Linked DNA regions of Drosophila melanogaster. The protein of the gene in region 1 interacts with the protein of each later gene in a pairwise test. Each region holds a gene or a part of one and is shown on either strand. Other genes may lie near its edges.

Region 1 (4,861 bases):
GAAGCTGCCAATTGGTGTGCGGGCTGCCGAAACCACCACAACTTCGGCGATTTTGGAGCTGTAGTTGCGATGGGCGCTCCAGCGACGCGTGGCCTGCAGCAGTCGGGCGGACATCTTGGAATTTAATTAATTTGTATTAACTAGCACAGCAATCACACAGGTAAATGGCAAGAATCCAATCAGAAATCACGCCAGACCTGTTGCTTGCGTAACAAACCGGTAATCGGTCTATCGATAGGCAACAGCTGGCGCGGTAAAAGTGTTGGCAACTGTTAAATAAGATTAAAGCGACTGGTAATTTTCTATTAGTTAGCATTCTTTAAATGTAATTTTTAATTTTTGCTGTTTTAAGTATATTGCTTGAAAACTACGCTGTAAAGATGCAATGCTAAGTTTATATATTCTTTTTACAATACCCAGCACTGAAAATGCGTAAATTGAACTTAACGGTTACAAGCGAACAACAATAAATAAAAACACGAAAATTGAAATTTTAAACACAAATGTATCTCATTTCATCAATATTTATTTTAAGACTAATGCAAATTGCACAATGAATGGCAGCTGAAAAAACTGGAATCTTAATGCTAATAATACGTGTTTAAAATATGGCATTCAAAAAAATTTTTGCATAAAAAAAATGTAAATATTTCGGAACTTATTCCACATCACAACGCTCATAGTCTCCATGGTTGCCATGGCTCCTGGACTGCACATCTTTCCTGATCAATTTGATCAGATCACCATCTGGTCGCGCGTTGTTAGCTTCTGATGGCCAGTGGCCACCACCAAAGACCTCCGCATGCGGTTCCGCTGCAGCGTGGAATTCCGTTCCCTCACCGATTGCCGCAGATGCTGGCGACGTGCTCCTCCGGGTCCAGAACCAACGACTCCACCTCCGCTTGCCTCCCTCTCGGCTGCATTCATGGCCGCCAGCAGCTCGAAGGCTTGTTTCTTCTGCTCCTTTGTCCAGAGATTGGCCACTGGTGGAACTTCTGCCGGCTGTTCCTGCGTGATCGGTGGCTTGACGGCCAAAGGAGGTCGCTGCACGCGAGTTGCAGCTGCTTGGGCTACCTGGTTGACCGATGGCAAGGATTTGGATGTCGCCTTGGATCCGCGACTCAACCCGAAAAGCGAGAGTATAGATTTCCTGCGGGTGGAGGAGGCCTGGCTGTCACCGGAATCATTGCTGGATACGCTCATTTGCATGGGAACGCCAGTGGGCGGAGGATTCACTGCCGGTTTAACCGCCGGTGGGGGCATATTCTCGATACCATAGGTAACAAACTTTTGGGGCGACTTGAAGGTAACCTTACGCAGAGTATTTAGCGATTTTGGTGCCGGAAGTGTGGCTAAATTGAGTTTAGCCACCGTGGGCGACGTCTCGTTGAGTTCGATAGTGCAGTAGGTGTCATCATGGTGCGATTTCGCTGGCTTCCTAGGAGGAATGGGCGGAGCTATCGGCTGTCTGCAACTACAAGTGTGTTTCTCCTGCTGAAGAAGTTTTTCCTGCATCTGCCGCTCCAGCGTTTGCACGCGCTGTTCGGCCAGCTGTAACTCCTGCTCCCGGGTCTGCAGCTCTTCGAGCTTCTGCTGCAACAGGGATTCTTGGGCACGAATGGCGTGGAGACGGGTCTTTAGTACTTCATCGAATATGTTTTGGGTAAGAGCACGAGGACTGCTAGGGGCCTCCTTTAGAAGCTCCTGATCCCTTTTCTGCTGCTCCTGATCCTTTTTACGGCGCCGCTCTTCCGCCAGTTCCACCTGCCTCTCCTCCGCTCGCTCCTCTCTCCTTATACTTTCATAAAGAGAGGGATCCGACAGCTGTAGTTTCTTGGCAGGAAAGATTTTGCGCTTGGCGGAGTAGAAGAGTTCACTTCGCAAATCTGGAGTAAACACACCAGTAACGCTGAGTCTCCTTTGCCCATAGCCTTCATTGAAGCTGTACTGTTCCGTAAACATGGTGCTCGATAGCTCTGGATGAACTCCATCTTCCTCTTCGTCCTCGAAAAGCCTGGCACCCGAAGGCAGTGTGTAGAAATCCTCTCCAGAATCAACTAGAATTGGGAACTTGCCATCCAACTCGCTAATATTACGCACCACCAGAGGATGCCGAATGATAACCTCGATGCCAGGACGCTGTTCATGATCCACTGCCAGCATGAAGGCGATGATCTCCTGCAGATCAGTACTATAGATTGCCGGAATCCGACTGAACTCACCCTGGGCGATCTTCTCGGACAACTGGTCAAAGGCTCTGCCGCGAAACGGCGGTCTTAGGGCACACATCTCGTATACCAAACAACCAACGGCCCAGACATCGCTCTTCCGATCGTATTTCCTGCCCTTCACCAACTCCGGACTCATGTAGTGCGGAGTGCCCACAAAGGAGGCGGCAAAGCTCTGATCTCGTCGCAGCATTCTGGCCAGACCGAAATCTCCCAGTTTGGCATTCCCGGCCGCATCCAGGAAAATATTTGCTGGCTTGATATCGCGATGCAAGATGGTTCCGTTGGGGATTTTGTTGTGGCACACCTGAAGCGCCCGGCAAAGTTGGAAGAGCACCCGCCAGATGTAGGGCTCCTCAAACCGCTGCCTCTGGGATCTCGCTCGCTGGACAATCTGGGCGAGATCGCCGCCGGCACAGCACTCCATAACAATGTACACCGACTTGGCCTCTCGGTTCACCAGATGATGGTAGTATTGCACAATGTTAGGATGCTGGAGCTGCCGCAGAACACTGATTTCCGAAACCAAAGCGTCGCACTTGGCCTCGTCCAGTTCATCGTAGTTCATTCCCTTCCAGGCGAACAATTCACCGGTGCTTTTGTCGCGCACCTTGTAGCAGGTGCCGAAGGATCCATTCCCCATCACGGCCAAAACCTCGTAATCCTGCAGGGTCTTTTGCGAAAAGTCCATGCCGGCAGATTCCTCTCCGCTCATTTTGCCTTAAGTCTTTTTTTTACTCTTTGGGTATTTTGGGTATTCCGCCGCCGATTACAAATGATCCGCTTGCTACAAAACCCAAACACGATTTGAGACTGGTTTTTGGGATGCAGGATTTCTGGAATTCTCATTGCTACCTGCAAGAACGGGAGAGAGAGCAACAACAAGTGCGCGAGAGAGAGGTTTAAGTAGTGCCGCTACCCCGCTAAATAGGGCGGAAGAATGAATATTCTAAAAACAAGCTAGATTTGTAATTTTTACAAAATACATTTTGCAAATATGCAATCTAATGATATAATTACATACATAAACAAATAGCTATTTCATCATTAAATTAAGAAATTGTAATATGGATTAAAATACAAAACTATTTAAAAACCAATATACAAGACAACTACCGATTAAAATTGATAGCAGTCATTTCAACCTGACCTTCATATAAATAACCTCTCCATAAAACCCTTTCGCACCTGCATGCTAATGCCCAATTTGGCTATTTTCCCGCCGAGAGACACCAGCACTGTTATGTTATTGTTGCACGTCTGGATCTCTCGTTTCCTTCCAGGAACAAAGATCGTGCTATTACCCTCTCGCTCCCAACCACAGTTCAACGGTATCCACTTGCAAATCTCTGGCATCTCACCCTCTCGCTCACGCTCTCCCCCGCTGTGAGAGAGAGAAAGCCCTTGAAAGGCGAAAATCTGGAAAATCCGTTCCATTTGATCCCACTGCGCCTGTGTACAAACTACTGACCATTGGAAACAATGGTCTAGAGAGGGGCAGCACGCCCAAGAACACAATTCCAGCGATTCATCACGCTCAATTTTGGAACTCGAGCCCAAAACCGATCTTAAACCGGAATCCAAAACCGAGTACAAACCCCTAGCCCTGAGCCATAAAAATAAATTAGTTTTGTTCCATTGGCATTTCAATTTGCTGCCTTGTTTGTTAAAGTGGAAATGTCCTTATCGGATTTCATATTTCATATTTGAAGTGAGCGATTATCCATTCTGTCTAACGGTTTTTACTGGAAGCAGTTACATAGTACATATAGGCATGGTCGTGCAAATGAAAGTTTTTAGGGGGCTCATGCTTATAAAAGTTTTTTTTTTCTATTAATTCTTAAAAATCTCGATTCACATGTATTAGATAATTCAATGCCATTTAACGAAACTCATTTAAAAAGACTACTCTCGGTTACCACATTTCAAGTGATTTATGTGACATGCTCAAGAAGTTCTACAATAAATAATAAGAGTTTTGGTAGAATACACCAATGCTCTTCTAAAATATCCAGCCTACGCCCCTGATCCGAACTAAGCAGAACTCGCATATCGTGCAGCGATGCCCAGGTAAAATCCTTCGAAAAACGAGTTATCTCCTTGGATTTTTCATTGGTTTTCGGCTTATCGTTAGACGTGTGTTGAGGTTTTTATGTTTTTCCTGAGTAAAACAAACAATGGTACGCAATCCTTCACAAATAAATCACGTTCCCGACCGCAAATCTCGTCCGCTGGCCATGCAGGTAAACTAGACGACAGGCGTATTTCACATTTCTCCGGTTTATTGAATAACAGTGAATTGGGGGAAAAAAAATAATATTTTGGGATGGCGATGTTGGGCAGGCCTACCAGGATGGCGCCTTACCCTCGCTGCCGGCGGGACGGCCGTATAGGGCACTCTTGTCCCGGAACATGGTCATACGTTCCGTTTCCTTCTTGTCCAGGAAGTGGCCAATGGCAAATCCCAGCAGGGGCAACGCGCCCCACAGTGCTCGCTTATCCAGTCCCAAGACCATGGTGTATATTTGTGTATCCTCTTAGCGCTGATCCTTCAGCTGGGCTCGGTGTGCCAACTGGAGCTGCTGGCGTTTCCACTGGCGGGTGTGCGACCAATCTGCGTAAATCGATCCGAC
Region 2 (7,830 bases), on another chromosome or scaffold:
GTAGACCGCCAGTGAATCGGATGTTTACTTACAACATGACAAAAGCTACTTACATTCTGGTACCGGACCAGAACTGAAACACCGAGGTCCTCAAAGGATCAGTGGGTTAATCTACTCACTAGTTAGACCATCAAATATATATATTGTTTATAAATTGTGTACATTACTGCAAGTCTATATTCATACAACCGAAATATTGTACTTGAAACTCTAGATAGAAATTTAATAAATAATCGTCGGGTTTATTAAAATATAAATAAGTTTCACACAAATTGGTAATAAAATTGTACATTTAACTTATTGAGTAAATTTTATACAATCTTTTTCGATAGTCATTTTTTGACACAAAATTGCAAAGTAAGTAAAATATAAATAATTGTCATAAAATGGATAATATAATCTAAAACCTAAACAAACGAATTAAAAGTTCGGCGATCATTTTCGGGGCGACTTTCGATGCGTTGTCCTGACACCTGATCCTATTTGACCTGAGGATTGGCGAGTTTGATTTGTACTAAGTTTGCTTTGTTGTTCAAAAGGAATGGGTGGAGTTCCATCTGGATAGTTAACCAGGGAGATGCGACTCTCCCCGGAGAACAGTTGAGAGCCGGTGTTACTCATGGACCCGGCCTTCTCTGGAATGGAGAGGAACGATCCCACTGGTGTGGATGTCTTTTGTCTGTCGTTTGTTGCTCCGGTGGCATGGCTTACACCCACTCCTGGCGTTTGCGTGTTGTTGCTGGGCGAGAGCGAATGTAGGACCGACTTCAGAAAGTGCCCCCTTAAGGACTCATCTGAACTCTCACTGGCAACGTCGTCGTGCACTCGATGTTTGAGGAGCTCTCTCGTAAGGAATTCCCTCAGATTAAGGGATCTTCCTATCTGGCTTGCATCCTGCACAGTGGAATCGTCCTTAGACCTATTGTTGTGCTCGTGGCCTCCACGAAGCCGAGACTTTCGTGGCCGCCGTTCTGGCGACGAGGCTGTGGTACTGCTGCACAACTCATCCACCTGCTGTTGCCTCTCATGCATTGTGGCATGCCAGCACGGACTTCTCTGATCCGCGTCGCTGGAAAAGTTGCTGCCGGAGAGGGGATCTATGCCACTCTCGTTGGGTTGATCGTTGGTCACTGGGGCGACGCTTTCCCGCCGCGTACTGCTAGCCACCTCCTGAGCCGTCAATGTGGTCTCAGTTGCGTTTCCTCGACGAAATGAGTTCTTTAGAATTTTCCGCTGGCGGAGTTCTTCCTCTACGTTAAATGAATCCGTGGAATCATTCTCTAAGCTAGCACTGTCTATTAGATCCCTCTGATCGGGTGGTTGCTTGGCCATAAGTTTTTCAAAGTATTCCCTGCGCTTGGGAAAGTCTTGGATACTATGAGTGATCACGCGCAGCTGTCGCATCAGTTCACCCGGTGACAGAGTGGCCTGATCTGCATCCTGACCTATCTCCACATGGATTCGGGTGCTAGTCATGTTATGAAGATAGGCATTAATGCTAGGAAACTCACGGTAGTCAGTTCCTTGATTGCGTTGCCTGATCGCGAGTATTAAGTCATTAAATTCGCCCTGCAGCCGTTGGCTCTGATCAGCATCCAACCGCGACAGATCTAAGTGCAGTTCCTTGGCATACTGATCGAAACTAGGGAATGGCTTGGGCACCGGTGTGGCGGCCACAATATGTGATTGTCCTGGCGTTTCCACTTCTGTAATGGTCGACAGCTCGTGCGCCAGATCCTCGGCGTTTAGTTGAGGACTATACCGACGAATCGTGGCCGGAGGTGCCCTTACTCGTCCGCGTGCTGTATTATTCTGCGTTGATGACCCAAGCGAGATGGGTTCCACATCGATACAAACCTGACCCTGTGCCGTAATTGGACGTGAGTCCGCAATGCCACTATCCCTGCTGGCCGCTGTCGGCTTGTGCTTCTGCAACGGCAAGGCTTCCGAGGTCGAAGGTGTTTGAGAATCGCTGCGATCGGAAATTGTCCGGCATCTGGTTTGCTGTTGTCCTGTTGGAAGCTCAAGATATTCAGTGGACTGCCGCTCGCCATCGCTGTTCGATGTGAGGGTGACCTCCACCAGTCGCTGCTTCTCCTCGCGCACTTTCGTGATCAGCTCTGTAAGTTCGGCGATCCGCTGGGTGCAGTTCTCCGTGAGCTGTGCATAGCGTTCCATGTTTCGGGCAGATGACTCCTCACTGGTGGATAGTGCTTTCGATTTTTCGGGGGCAAAGCGGTTTGTGCTTTTATCGGCGCCTGAACCTTGTTTTACAGTCTTTTGCTCCCTTTTTTGTTGCACTGCACCGTTTGTTTGCTGCTGCCGGTCCCCTTCTTGAGTTCTACGAATTTTGCCGCTTTCCTGTGGAGGTGCTGCATTTTTCCTATCTCCTTGTGGAGTCGGCCTTTCCCTTGGCATCTTTTCTCTTGTTTGCTCTTTCTCTTTGTTGGTTTGCTGACAATCTTCAGGATTCTTGGCCAAACGCTTGTTCCATATTTGATCGAATGCGCGCATACTTTTCTCTGCATCCAGCGATTGTTGCTCCCTTTGCAGCTGCTGCTGGCAACGTATTGATTCTTCCAAGTCATTGATTAAGCTGCGATTGTCGGCAATAAAGGTTTGCACCCGCTCCATGCGATGCTCGTTCATCTCCGTATTTTCATCCTGATCCCTTTCAGCTCTTCCCGCTTCAGGCTCGGGACAAGGGGTTACGTTTCTCAATGAGTTGATCACCGACGTTGATGGTGTGGTCACACACGAGGAACTCACACCCATCTCATCGATATTTTGGCGTGTCATTCCTAGCAGACGATTTATATATTGAACCACCATGGGATGTAATGGAGCAGAAGGGGGAGCGGCCGTGGTCATATTTTTATAGCTCACTGGCGGCAGACTGCGATAGGCAGTGGAGTTGGAATCAATGGATATCTGACGCTGATCCTGTAAGAATGGTCGCTTTCCGTGATCCTGTTCCGTCGGCTTTGGCTCATCGTCTCTTGGTGTGCTGTCAGTTGAGCCCAGGGGCACATCCTTTTCATTGTCGATAGCCGACGGCTTGGTTTTGGCTTTCGATTTTGTTCTCGGTACATATTGCTTAACAGTACCGTCACTCCTCACCTTAATAATGATCTCAACTGGCCCATCTTCTTTTGCGTTTGATTTTGGCTTATCACTCTCACTGGATTTTGCGTTTTTTGTCTCCTTGTAGAACTTTCTTAGACGCTGCTCGAGAATAGCCTCCTTCTGTTGCAAATCAGATTCTCGTTCGTTTAAAGTTCTCGTTCGCTCGGATAGAATATCAGCTCGCTCCTGACGTATATTATTCAATTCCTGTGCATTGTCACCCTTTGATGCACCTGACTCACCCGCCTTCAGTTCCTCCAACAGCTGGACTCGAATTTTCTCAATGCGCTCAAGCAAACTCTTTAGCCTCATCGATTTCAGTGAGTTTGACTGCTCGGCCTGCAGGTCCGACTTGAGTTGCTTGCTTTGATCATTAACGTAGTCGAGAAGAATGGAGCTGCAGCTCTCCGAGCTGCCAAGATTATCCCGGCCGATTTGAACAGGAGGTTCGCCCAAATTAACTGCCACAGAAGCTTTGGATTTGCTGCGCGATAAGTTTGGAGGAGTAGGTTTGGTGCGCACTTCCGGGCAGGTGATAATGGCTGGTCGAAGCAGCATTTCTTCCATTGCATCGTTCATCTTTTGCTCTCGCCTGGCAGCTGCATCCGCGTACCGATGGCTAGGTATAATGTTAGCCTGGTGGGAAAATGAGTTTGTATTATTTAAAGAGGAAAAATATTTGATTTCCTTACATCGGTTGGCAAGAGCTGCGGTTGCTGTTGCGTTAGAGCATCTAGCTTTTCCGTTAATTCAGCACAATCCCGACGCACTTGCTCGCGTTCAAGAGCCTTTTGACCACGATCGTCACTAATTTTCCTATTGAAATACGTTATTGATTTCAATTTGATTCATTAAGATAAGTTCTGTGTTCTGTTTCTTTTACTGGCTACTACCTCAGTTTGTCCAGTTCCTGTTCCCGCAGATCCCTCAGCTGGTTCTCGATGCGAGCATGATCCATAGCGGTCAATTGGGTGGCATCCTTCTCATTGCACTGCACCGACTGTGTTGGTGCTTCGTACGTTCTATGGTACTTATTGCTATGATCATAGAACTGAACACGCCCACATTGAGTCGTCCTTGGGTCCTGTCGCGAGGACATGGTAATTGTGGTGGTGGACACAGTGGATTGCGTAGCAGTGCTCGGTGGAGCAGTAATAGCGGGACCGAGTACAGCTGGCTGATTCGGCATCATTTGCTGCGGTGCATACATCGGATGAGGTTGTGGAAACTGGGCTTGCACGGGAAATGGCATTGAATATGGCATCGCATATGGTTGCATCGGAAGTTGAGCATACGGATGCATGTATGGTTGATTCTGCGGCATGGGATAACAATGGGTCATCGACGGATTTGGCACAGCTGGCATAGCCTGTTCTGGAATCGGTGGAAGGTTTCGAGGAGGTTCCACTGCTGGTTTCTGTATAGCTGTTACTTTGGGCAGCGTAGCTGGAGCTTTGGCCTTCTGACCTCTGTGTATTCCCGCATCTATCACCTTGGCAGGAGCTGGATTTAATTTTAAACCCGTTCTTTTGACTGATGGCTGGTTACGTGGTGCCGTCACAGTTTTCTTCGGCGATCCTTTAGCTGTTTTAGTGGGTGATTTTCTGGGTGCTGGAGCAGGAACGGGCTCCTCACGCTCTACACATTTTCTGGGCGATCTTGGCGGGGATTTGGTGGGACTAGGCGGGGCAGATACTGGTGGAGTAGGATCTGCTTCCCTTCGTTGACTTGGCCCAGCTCGTACGGTGGTCTCGGTTTTTCTTACCAAATCGCTGATCTGAGTGAATCTCGGCCGGCGTTGGGGTTCATCATCACTGGGTCGCACGACATGGCTGAATTTCCGGTTGGTTTGCATGAACCTATCATTTATATCCATACCCTCGGGATTCTTGTCGGTTTCAGAAATGGTTTCCTCGATTTCTACGTCTAGGATTACGGGGGTAGTTTTTTGGAGACGCCGGTTGCTGCTCGGACTCTCGATGATCAGGATGGATGAGTCGTCATCGGACGATGCGTCATCCTCCTTCTCATCCTCTGCATCGGTGCTGGCACATCCACAGCTGGTTTTCCTTTTGCGCTTGCCCTTGCAACAGGGTTTGTTACACCCGCTCTCCATTCGGTTTTCTTTGTCCTCCACTATGGGCGTTTGTGTTCCCGCCGAGGCACGTCCCTCCGCATTTAAATTCATTGTGTTTGTGGTCCGCAACTCAACGCTGGCTTTAGCCGATCTTTTCAAGGCCTGCTTGCGACACCTTCGGATTTTGTCGATTCTCTCTTGCCTCTGCTGCTCGATGCGTTCGTTCTCCTCCTTTGCGGCGCGATGGGCGGCGCCCACCTGGAAAATGGCCGAACGGTAGTCCTGGTGCTTTTTGACCAAAACATGCTCACGCCACGCATTTAGCTCCCTTTGCTTGACCTGCTCTAATTTGTGGATTTGACGCCTCTTTTCGGCAGCCACATCCTCGCGTATCTGGCGTGCCAGGTGGTTTGACTTCTCCCGCACCTGGTTATAAAATTAAGTGGTCACGCTTTGTGTTACAATTACTGCGCAATGGGCTCGGAACCCAAGGGACAAGTTACCTGCTTCAAACGGGTTATGCGACGCTCACTTTCGAGATCTTTGCGTACTTGCTCTGGATCGTCCAGTGGTCCTATGGTCCTCCTCAGGTTGGCCCCGAACTTTCCATTTACTGTTAGCTGCAGAGCCATCTGCTCTATCGATATATGTAATAAATTCGTATGTGGGGCAGCATTTACGCAGTAGAAATCGAAACAAGTTTGAGCGTAAAATCAAACAACCCAACGTCTTTAAAAATTCCTCCCAAGCGGCAGTGTGACCGTAGATGAATAATTGAATGTACTAGAATTTACATGCGTCTAAAATATACCAGCTGGTAAGTAGCACGCACTCAAGGCACAATACAAATTCGGAAATTAAATGATCGAAAAACTACGTGTTTTTTTTTAAATTATAAAATTTAATGAATGCAATTTGAAAGCTACATGACAATAAACTCAGTTTGAAAACGAAAACATCACAACAGCATGTACACAAGCCTAGATGGCCCAGTTGGGATGTATCGAACTATCGACACCTATCGTTATCGTGCGAAATCAGCTGAAATTGTTTGGATTACGAGATAGTAAATAGAAATATTGAAATTACATTTTTTGGCTGTGAAATCGTAAAATTATGGCGTTCCTACTGCGACAAGTGGCCAGGAGCGGATTGCAAAGGTGAAATAAGCTAGGAAAAATTGCGTGACAAATCCCACAATAAATGCTTGATCTTCCATAGAAATCTAATCCTAATGCGGCATGCAACCGCTTCCACATCCGCGAATCCCGAACTTAGTGTCCAGGTGAGCGAGAGCTGCTTGAAACGGCTCCGTGAGATCTGCGTGGATGGATCTTTCCTGCGTGTGACCGTCGAAGGAGGCGGATGCTCCGGCTTTCAGTACAAATTCGATTTGGATAAGCAGCTGAACGAGGATGACCGACAGTTTGGCGAGGCTGAGGCCAAGGTGGTGATCGATACAGTCTCGCTGGAGTACTGCAGCGGCGCCACCGTGGACTACCATAGCGAACTAATACGCGCCGGTTTCCGGATGGTGGCCAATCCGCTGGCGGAACAGGGCTGCTCCTGCGGCTCCTCCTTCTCAATCAAATTGTAAACTTTAAACTTTAGAGAATTATTTAATACACATAGAATGTTCAGTTATATACACGTCGAGGGTGGACAATAACAAAACAGGGTAGAGGGGGAGCGGGCGTTCCCAGTTAGTTATTTTACAACAATATACAGTAAAGCAGCTGGGCGGGATGCGCGCCGCTGTCCATGCTCATTTGCAGGCGGCCAGCTGGTCACTCAAGCTGATGACCTGCTCCGTCAGCACGCTGATTTGCTCCTCGTAGTTAATACGCGTCGTAGTCTAAGGAAATCCGAGATGTCACTTGGTTCTAAGAGCACAAAACTGCAGGCACAACTCACCAACTCCTCTTCGAGCATTTGCAGGGCTCCACCCAAACTGGCCAACTGATCGTCCTTGGCCTTAAGTTCGTGCGTTGCGTTCTCCAGGCAGTTTTGCAGGTGCTGAACCTCCAGCTCGTAGGATCGCAACTTGGATTCCGCTTGCACTTTCAGTCGCATCAGATCCTCGAACTTCTTGCTGAACACACTGTAGATGAGCTGCTCCTTGGTGGGCGGTTCGGGGGGATCCTGCAGCGAATCCCGCGCCCGCTGGCTGCCTTTCGCCTCCGACTCTGCCGGTCGAACGGTGACGCCCGCCGCCGCCGTGCTGCAGCTGCACGTGCTGAGATCCTTGCTGGGGTTCGAGACAAATGCTTGATGCAGCTTGGCCACTTCGAATTGAGCCCTCCAATGCGCCGCCTCCTTCTCGAGCAGCGCAATGCGATCCTCGGAGGTGAGTTGGTTGCTATTCGACTGCTGCTGGAGATTGTGTAGAGGAGTAGTATCGCTGCCGGTGGCGCTCAGTGCGTCCTCGCTGCCAAGCTGAAAGCACGCGAATCTTTGGGTAAATATTTAAAGAGAGATCTCAATATTACCATGCTGGCCGCATCAACCAGCTTTGTTTCCAGCTCGCTGTTCCTGTGCTGCAGCGTTTCCACCTCCTTCCTGAGTCGCTTCTCCAGTTCGTTCTGATCGCCGATGCGTTTCTCCAGCTTCTGTTCCAACGATGCTAT
Region 3 (4,887 bases), on another chromosome or scaffold:
ATTCAAGTCCGTACTGTATTTTGAACGACTGAAAAATATATTTTCCATATTACACATACGCCATGTGGGTCAGGCCGTAACGCTTGACAAAGTTTTCACAATATTAGCGGAAAATGCTTGTGAAAAAGTTATCCAATTCCCGGCCACATGGTGGTTTGAACGTCCTTGAACTTGTCAGGACAAAGACAACAACAACACATTCAGGAAGTACCAGCACAGCGATAAGGATATCGGGATAACAAGTTTGCACCTATAACCATGACAACGGATTTTCTTTGAGTGTGCGTGAAAAACGAAAACGAAAGTCTTTTACATTCCTTGCAAACATTTCAATTTGTTGCTATAGTTTGGACCTCTTTTGTGGGCCGTTGTTTGGGTGTGACACACATTTCAGTTGGATCGTCTGAGGTTTTTGCACTTCGGCGACTAATAACAACAATGCCACTCCCCTTTGGAACGGGAAAAGGGGCGAAGGACCTAGCCCAACGTCTCTGTTAATGGCGCTGACGCCTTTCCTTTGATTTTCCACAAGATATTGTCGATAAACCCTCAATAATGGCACGCATATTGGCGAAAATGATTAAATTAATAGCTTTGCCTGGCGCAGAATTGACAGTGAAATATGTTGGACAAAAATAAATTCGGATTGGAGAAAGGATTTTCTTTTGCGTTGCTATGAAGAAAGGTTATTTCATTTAAAGGGTTTAGTTTAATATAAATTCTTAAACGCTTGCATTTAACATTTTCATATTTTATATAAAAATTTACATATGAACACACAATTTATATGATTGTGAAGTAGATGATGAATTGCTTTATATCCTATACCCGCATTTTATTTGATTTACAAACCAAATCTTTTACAGCATTATTCTTTCAAATAGTAATTCTAATAAATAATATTCAAGAACAATTAAGAATGAGATCGTATCGTAACTAAATTTATAGAAAATATGGTAAATACTGTATAATTTTCTCTAAGTACACTGCAATGCAAAAAAAATCCACTAATTTGGTTCATTATCATGCGGTTTCGAATGATATTAACACACTTTGGCTGGCGAGTGATGCAAATGTCACTGGGCGATGCTAAAGATCACATTGCGGACAATAACTGAACTCACATGCAATTTCCCCATTTCGCTGCCCGCCACTCATTCGATTCAATTCAGCGATGAAGAAGTTATCTCAATTAAATGCAATTTACAATCACTTAAAAAGTCCATATATCGACAATGGCTATTGAGGGTTACATTGTGCAAACTTCTACGTATATGCAAATGTTTCGTAGATTTTTTTAAACAATTTTATGGGATCACAGGCACTGACACTGCACTCTTATCTTTATAGAGCTATAAATGTGCGGAAAACCGAAAAACGACGACGCGACCGCCTGCAGTGCAGGTTCTTTTATAAATAAAACGCCCGAAGAGACATTCAATTGAAATCAGTCACTCAATCCGAGGAAAATCAAAAGAAAAGCGTTGGAAAAGAGCAGCCACGGGAGAGGCCGAGCGATTGAGAGCGAGTGCCGCGGAAATTTGCAACGCGGTTCCAAGCGGTTCCGTGCACCGAATGTTCGCTCCCATTTTTTATTTATAAACAAAATGTGTGTGTGGAACATAAATTTGTTTGGAAGATGGTGATAAATGCAAAAGAGTAGTTTTAAAAGCATTTAGAACTATTGTTTTACGATTCGCGATTGCGATTGATACTGAAGTAGCTATATATATAAGTACTTAGAATTAGTATTATAATCAGAATTAATGTCCCTCAAAAACTGTTATATTTCATTTTTTATAGTTAGTAATTTATAATTATTCTATAATCATCATAAAACATTTTAAGTTAAGTTTAAAAACTTGAAGTTCAAATTTTATTTTAAAATTTGTATACAATAACAATTTAATATAAGAAATTCGAGCCATTAATCATTTCGATGAATATTAAAAATTTTTGATCATTTTCGTATACATTATCCAAAAATTTTCATCGTATTGCGGTACATGTATTAGATTTATTCAGCAACAAGTTGCAGAAACATTCTTTCCTCAACAAAATCGATAAGCGAATCGGTTATTGTAGCGAGACATTTTTTCAAAAATATGAATATTGATGTTTATAATAAACAGGGAAACAGTAGCCAAGATTCACTAATAAATGTATTAGTTATTTAACAAAGCAATTAAAACCGCATAATGTGGACAATTCAATTATAATTTTCACTTAAAAAGTTGCTCTATAATAATAAAAAGTATGCTATTCAATGATATAAAATATAATACTTATTTAAAAAATAAAATATTATTTAAAATTCCTAATCCGTTGGGTATTTTTCACTGTAGATTGTTTACAGATTTCGGAAGGGCCTTGTGGTCTTCTAATCGAAAGTTCAAAGGCGCATTCAATTTCGATTTCATTTGTAAACACACTTGAAAAACAACATGTTCTGTTTGTGGATCGTAATGAATTGAAAACACACATATCAAGGCGCATTCAACCCACATTTTGTGGATTTTATGCACAATCCGAGAGCACAGATGATGGATGTTCGGCTCCCAAATGGGTTAATACTTTAATGGATACCCCTGATTGTTTGGCTTACCCAATCGTATATAGTGTACAGATTCATGGTGACTGCACTTGAACCAAATAATTTATGGCCTATTCCCTGTTTTTTGGCCGCCTTTGTTGACACTTGCGCCTGTCAGTTGGCTATATCTATAGGCATTCTAGATGTGGCCCAAATGCGATCCATTTTCTTGTTGATGTTTTTACGTAGTGGTTTTGATGACACTATATTTTAGAATTTTTTCGGGTTGACTTGCTTACAAACACAGACGAATGCAACGAACCGAATAATTTTGTAGGTTAGGTTGGAGACTTTACGTAAAATTTGATATTTTTTTAATTTAAAGTTTAACACGAAGACAACACAATGGGGGAAACTAGCTACTTAAAGCGTGAACTCTTAATTTATCATTATGTGATTTTCAATGCTCCTCGAGGGAGAAAGAACCGACAAATTTGAAACTTAAAAACAAAAAAAAACCAATAGTGCAACCGATCTGAAACAGTTGCACGTAATAGCGAGCGCGATGCAACTGAGAACCAAATCCATTGCGAAGAGTCTTTATATTTTTGGGGTATCGGGGGATATCCACGCTCTTTTTCTCCCCATCCAGATACTGTAATGCTCAGTGAAGCACAACAAGAGATTGTTTAAAAATAATCAATCGTAAACAAAATTTGTTGCAGTGGCATTGAGTTGGGGAGAGTCCAAAAGAGAGAATTCAATGTACTACTACCAGATCGCGAGAGAAACAAAGAGAAATCCGAGAGATAAAGGGGAGGAAAGTAATTAAGTTTTATCGGTTGTTCTATAAATAAGTTTTAACCAGAGATTAAGGAACTACAAGATATATTCGATAAGGAATGATTTAAGGAAGTGAGAACACATTTATGGGTATAAATGAGACATTTATTTATAGGCTAGGGAAATATAAAGCTTTCTTTTCATTTCAATTATTCAAAAAATCTGAAATGCTACAAGAGCATTAATAATGTTTTGAGAAAAATATTGGAAGTTCAACGAAATATTTGAATGCTTAAATATCAATAAAAACGCACTCGCATATATTTTAATATAAAATATTTATTTTTATCTATTTGTTATTGCTTGTCGGTAGTTAGTCTTAAGAAAACTCGGTGAATATATCAGTATCCAATCGGTATATTCATATAAAAATATCATTCGATTAGGGTAAATATCCTTTATACACTTATTAGTTAGCTAGTCAGTTATTTGTTTATAAATGCTGTTAACTATATAAAATATTTCCATATTTTCTAGGCATCCTGTTGTAAGGCGATTTCTGTCCCCCTCGGGGATAATATTGTCCTGTGTTTTTTGTACTTTAAAAATTCAATACAAAATTTGAATGTCGTTCGATAAATTGCTTTCAATACGTCAGTTTTCAATTTGGCAGATCTTTTGAGCATTGTTATTTTCTTGATCCTAAATAATTTGGCTAACGAACTTAAAATTCGAAAGGAGTCCAATAGTTTGAGCTGCTTTTGCTTTGTAGTTTCTCAGTGCTACAAAATTAGTTTAGTTAATCACATTAAAAGGTGAAAGTGCATGAGAATTCCGTACAACCTTATAGGTCAATTAGGATTTCCGCCCTCCTTTTGCTTAAACTTGGTGGAGTATTTGTAGAAATCGGACATCTCGAAGGGTTTCGTCACTTCCTTGTACGGCTGGAAAGTGGCCTGCTGAACTACGGTCATGTTTTTGGGCGACTCGATGCGAATTTCCGGCGATAAACTGGCTGTGGCCACTGTTACTGGCGGTGACACAAGCGCTGTTTGGACAGCATTCCCATGAGCAAGTCCGCTTGAACTGCCATTACCACTGTGACTTAGGTTCTGGTTCTGAGTATGAGCCTGATTTGCGGGTGGCGGTCTGGGCGGCGGCGTTGGCTGCTGCATTTGACTTGGCTTGGGTGGTAAGTTTCGCAGTGCTGGTATGTCCAGAGGTTCCAGCGGATACGATACCGATATCCCCAAAGTTTGCTCCATTGCATTGAGATACGAAGTCGATTGACTTAGCAGGGCTTTCGAACTGGTATTCACCGCATAGCTGGCACTGGGATAATTCGGAGTCGGTCGCTGGTTGGACATGGAATAGTGACGACCCGCTACCGACATGGACTGCGAGGAGAGCTTAGCGCGGGGTTTACTTGAAACCATGGCAGCTGCGCCGGGATTACTACTCCCATTACTACTCCCAGCTGGACTGTGGGGCTGTGAATCCATCTGCCTGATAACAGCTGGCCCATCTAGCGAAGATTCCAGCCACTGCTTGGGCTTGGGCTTCTTCTCAAT
Region 4 (4,841 bases), on another chromosome or scaffold:
CAATTGATCCTCCAGGTCCTTCACATTCTGCTCTAGGGCATTCCGTTTTTCTTTGCAATCCTTTAGCTCATACTCCAGTTTGTATACCCGCTCAGTTTTGGTATCCAATTGATGCTAGTGAAGCAAATAACAATATTGTTAATATCTCTAGAAAATATATTATTAAATGAAGTTACCAGAAGCGTATCCTTCTCGTGTTCTAACGATATATAGGTCTGCCGCAGAGCTCCTAAGTCCATGCGGAGTTGGGTAACCTCGCTGCGATTGGATTCCCGACTGGAGTCCAAGGTGCTGGCCCGAACATCCGCCGACTGTCGTTGACGCTCGGCCACCAAAAGTTTACTCTGATAATCCGCTATGATGCGCTCGTTTTGATCGTTGAGCATGCTGCCAATAAATAAATAACAAATTTATAAACGATATGAAAGCTTAGCAGCAATTCCATTGTTACTAACGTTATTTGATCATTTTCGGTCTTTAGTTGGTCAATTTCGGTTTGCATAGATGCCACACGCTGCCTCATTTGCAACAAGTCCTCCTTAAGCAGCACCAGATTCGTTTCAGTTGGCAGACGAGCCGAGTTAAGTTCCCGATTATCGCGTTCCATTTGCCGCAGGCGATCGTTAAGCTCTTCGTTTCGCAGGCGCAGAGCCTGTAGCTCATCGGCATGAAGTTGAACAGTGCTCAGTTGCTTCTCCCTCAGCGTATCCCGCTCGCAACGAACCCTTTCTAGCTCGGTCCTGGCGCAATCCCGTTCCCGCTCCACCCTTGCAATGGCCGCCTGGACGCAGTCACTCGTATTGCTAGTAACGGTGGAGGTAATGGATGAAGCTGTGGGGGGCGGCAGTGTCTCATACTGCACACTTTTTTGTGGGGAAAATTGCTGCTTTCCTCCATGAAACAGTTCAGATCGCAGGGCCTTTAACTCCTCGTCCTTAGATTTAATTTGGGCATGCAAGAAGGCGATCTCCGACTCGGATCCGGTCTTGCTCATCAGACGCAGATACTCCTTCTGGAAGAAGTCCCGCTCTGATGACAGGCGTATTTTCTCTTCATCCAGGGTGACGTTGGAATGTTTATTCTGATCTTTGAGCTCCTTCTGCAGTTCTAATATCTTTGCTTGCATTTTCTGAATTTTCTTCTTATGCTTTTCATTTGTGGCCTGTAGTTCCTCTTCACGACGAGTCAAAAGATTTAAGCGTTCATTAAGATTATGCTTGTCACTTTGATTGGAAGCAAAGCCACCGGTCAGTCGGTGATCCTTTCCCTTCTTCTTAAGCTCCAACTGCAGTTGCCTAAGTTCCGATTCCTTGGCATCGATTTCCGCATTGGCCTGCTGTTCCACTTGCAACGCAGCTTCCTTGAGCTCCTCCAGCTGCGTTTGGAGCTTTATTTTATCCTCTTCGGAGCTTAGAGCCCGCTGCATAGCATCGTGCATCTTGTCCTGGAATTCTCGAACTTGCATCATTAAATCGCTCTTCTCGCGTTGCAACAGATCGATGTCCTGGGAGAGGGCGCCCACGTCCTTGTAACAGCAATCCTTGGCCAAAGCCGCTAAAGGACGCCCTCCTGCTAGCATGTCGTTTAAGCGGCGAATCTCCCGATTTCTGGCCTCCACTTTGCGCTTGAAGAACTCCAGTTGTTCTCCGGCTGCCGTAAGATCATTCTGCATCTTGTCTAACTCCTCCTGTCCACTGGTTTGCGTCACTGTCACACCGTCTTTGGTCGTTGTGGTGGTCTTCTGGAATACCCCAGCATTGCATTTTGTGCATTTAAGAGCACTGCTGCTAGTGCCCAGTGTAGTTGGCATCGCAATGCCCGAACGCACTGTGGTTATAAAGGGTTTTTTGGCTGGAAAGCAGAACATTTTAATAAAACCAACGTGAATCAGATAGAGATAGTATCTCAGGGAGATCCAATTCTAGTTAAATATCTTTCTTAGACCTACTCTGACGTCCAATGCCAGCTGTCGCCTTTTTGTTCGTGACTGATGAAACCATTTGCTTGGTAAGCAAAGCGTCCAGTTGCCTTTGAAGTCCATCGTTGTGACTCTGCAAATGCTGCTTGTCCAACTCCAGATTTCGGATCTTTCGCTCGGACTCTGAAAAAGTTTAAGGCAGCAATAGAGTTAAAAATCAAATTAAAATCGATTACAACATACCACACAGGCGCAGCTCGTAGTCCTCCCTGTCCCTCAAAAACTGGAGATGCAGTTCATTGCACTCGGCCAGCAGGCGAGAGTTGTCACACTTGTAGGGTTCGACGCCCAGCTCCCAACAGGTCTTTTCCTGCCGAAAGGAAAGCCACAACAGAAGGATTGCTTAGCAACCAATTGAAAAACCACAACATATAAGAAAGAACGTGGGCTTAAAAAGCTAACGTGTAAATATCCTTGCAAGTATTTCACGCTTAATTTTAGGGATTCAATTGAATTGTATAGTCTGCCCTTAAAAATGAAGCATATTTGGCGTATATAGAATAAGAATACTGAAAAGAAGTTTCTCATGGGATCCTCACAATTATAATCATATTTAGATTGACAAATTCTTTTTTATCTTAACAGCACCAACCTGAATCTCTTCAGTAAGAAATTGTGATAATATTATAGTTACACATATATAATCGAGAAAACCCAAAGGTCTTGTACTCTCTACTGGTATACCCACCTCCAGCAGCTCGGCCACCTTTTTCTTGGTATCCCTCAAACATTCTGTGGTCTTGATTAGGTCCCCGAAAACAGCCTGCAATGTAAAAGGTACAGGATTATGCCAAAAAATTAATATTACAGGGTATGAATATTACCTGAACCAGTGGAATGGCCAAAACGGGCAGCGTCTGTGTGAAACCCATGATGTCCAGTTTGCAGCGGAGGTCTTTAAAGTCACCATCGTTGATATTCATGGGAAAACACTAATAACAGCAAAAAAATCACAAGTTTTCTCCTAAATGCCCTAAATTTCAGAAAATGCGCAATGAAAACAATGCTATTCAATCAAATCAAAACAAAACCGGACTTCAACCGATATTTCCTTAAATATATCGGTTATCGAAAGTGACCATCACACCTCAGCAAGGAAATCAATCGAAAATTTGTTTTAGTATTTTATTATCGAACGCAAATGTATCGAAATCAGTATGAAAAATAACATCGATTGCCCAGAAAAAACGTTACATTCAAAATAAAATATAAAAGCTGAACAAAATTTTATATTTTTTATGAAAATTCATAGATTTTACCAGGTATGTACTGCAACCGAAAAGAAGTTACCGAATATTTCAATATAATAATTTTATTATTGTTCATGTGTCTATGGCTATGTCTAAAAAACCAAATTATAATACAAATTTTTTAAACTTTTAGAATTGTACCAGGCTTTACTAAATAATTGACCTTGTCCAAATCAGAATTGTTCGATATTTGTCTTTTTATTAAAAAAAAACTAAGGTGTGGACTGCGATTAATCAACAACAAAACAGTAAAAGTTCTTAAACATAAAAGACGCTTCATTATCTGATATAAAATTACGTTCTGGCTTTTCCGAGGAAAACGGATTTACAGTTGGCGGCATTACGACATTTAAGTGTCGATTCGATTGGTTAATAAATTGAATCATATCCAAAGGGGCCTCGTATTTTGTATAGGAAGTAACTACGATGGGGCAGTTGAGATTGAGTGCAGCTTGAATGGTATCTGGCCAAGTATCCTCCAGAGCGAAACCAGTTGATCGGTACAGACCGCAGTTAAAGAAGCAAACTATGAATTTATGTATAATAATTATTATTAGTTTCGCTTAAATGAGTGTTAACTTACTCAAATTCGGCTGAAGAAAGTGCGATTCTCTGCAGTAATCGTGATATAAACTATTCTCAAAATGATAGTTAACCGTTCTCTGGGCTTTTCTGCAGAAACGGCAGCATCTAAATAGATTGATAATCTTTAGACTAATGTTTAAACTACTAACTAAAAGTGTAACTCACTTGATTTTCTTTAGCTGTTCAAAGGATATATTATTAGGATTAAGTTCAGGTCCAACAAAGACCACATTCAGAGTTTTCACCGCTGGCGTTATGTGGAGCAGGAAGAGTTCCCATTTCTGCAGCATATCCGCCTCAAATTCGATCTCGGCTCCAATTAAGTGAAGAGTCATCTCCTCGCAGTTTCTGAGGCGCTCGCAAAGTTTCAAGGCAAACCAGGCAGTTAATGGGCCAGTGGACACCTGGGTAAGTGCTGCGTACTCACACTCATTGGTAACATCTTTAAATCAGTATAATAATACATTATAATAAAATCCTTGAATACTTCGTGTTTACTTACTAAAGCTTAGCTTCTTCATCATCTGCTTGGTGTTGGAGCAAGCCATGGGCAGCTCTCTAAGAATCTTACTGGGCAGTGATGGCTCCATGCGGCCGAACTGTTCCTGAAACATGATGAAGGCCTTGAAAATCTGATAGGCTCCACACCACTTGGCGTGCTCCTTGCCTCGGTGCTCCGGCTTATCCTTGCAGAAAGCCACCTCGCCACATCCACCGCACATGGATAGACGTTTAAAGCGATGCTCCCGGCACTTTGAGTCGGCGCAGATCAGTGGAAATAGGAGCAACTCTCTCTCCGTTGCGCTGAGCTGACGATTCATCTCCTTCTCCACCTGGCGAATGCACACGATCCGGAAGGAACGGAACTGTTCGTCACTGAAGTCGCCGCACTTGTAGAACATCTCGTGACCTGCATCCGCCCCATCCAAAATTGGCAATTAGTGTGATTTATGAATTTGTGAATCGCCGAAAGACACTCACCATTGCGGTCCACCGTCTGGCGCAGGGCGTAGCACAGCTGGCGGTGC

What was found.
Region 2: the proteins of Nek2 (region 1) and ana1 interact in a two-hybrid assay, tested with the Drosophila melanogaster proteins (one study listed by BioGRID).
Region 3: the proteins of Nek2 (region 1) and Plp interact in a two-hybrid assay, tested with the Drosophila melanogaster proteins (one study listed by BioGRID).
Region 4: the proteins of Nek2 (region 1) and Cep135 interact in a two-hybrid assay, tested with the Drosophila melanogaster proteins (one study listed by BioGRID).

What each region holds. Positions count from the first base shown.
Region 1 is NC_004354.4:7,888,557-7,893,417, forward strand, and holds Nek2 (Nek2), read right to left. Parts: upstream 3,091-4,861; 5' UTR 2,944-3,090; coding exon 736-2,943; 3' UTR 510-735; downstream 1-509. Other genes in the region: Acat1 (Acetyl-CoA acetyltransferase 1), read right to left, coding at 1-114; ND-MNLL (NADH dehydrogenase (ubiquinone) MNLL subunit), read right to left, coding at 4,574-4,744; CG45089 (uncharacterized protein), read right to left, coding at 4,766-4,861.
Region 2 is NT_033777.3:24,528,791-24,536,620, reverse strand, and holds ana1 (anastral spindle 1), read right to left. Parts: upstream 6,046-7,830; 5' UTR 5,836-6,045; coding exon 5,707-5,835; intron 5,630-5,706; coding exon 4,020-5,629; intron 3,943-4,019; coding exon 3,819-3,942; intron 3,763-3,818; coding exon 436-3,762; 3' UTR 226-435; downstream 1-225. Other genes in the region: CG13623 (uncharacterized protein), read left to right, coding at 6,320-6,363, 6,425-6,800; CG6607 (uncharacterized protein), read right to left, coding at 6,969-7,058, 7,118-7,639, 7,693-7,830.
Region 3 is NT_037436.4:15,087,187-15,092,073, forward strand, and holds the start of Plp (Pericentrin-like protein), read right to left. Parts: upstream 3,008-4,887; 5' UTR 2,633-3,007; coding exon 2,606-2,632; intron 1,368-2,605; exon of another isoform or gene 1,140-1,367; coding exon of another isoform or gene 1,125-1,139; intron 1-1,124. Other genes in the region: sstn (stepping stone), read right to left, coding at 4,168-4,887.
Region 4 is NT_037436.4:15,114,921-15,119,761, reverse strand, and holds the start of Cep135 (centrosomal protein 135kDa), read right to left. Parts: upstream 3,026-4,841; 5' UTR 2,902-3,025; coding exon 2,803-2,901; intron 2,742-2,802; coding exon 2,667-2,741; intron 2,289-2,666; coding exon 2,162-2,288; intron 2,102-2,161; coding exon 1,949-2,101; intron 1,852-1,948; coding exon 456-1,851; intron 388-455; coding exon 177-387; intron 115-176; coding exon 1-114. Other genes in the region: CG13458 (uncharacterized protein), read right to left, coding at 3,459-3,754, 3,812-3,918, 3,979-4,255, 4,316-4,723, 4,795-4,841.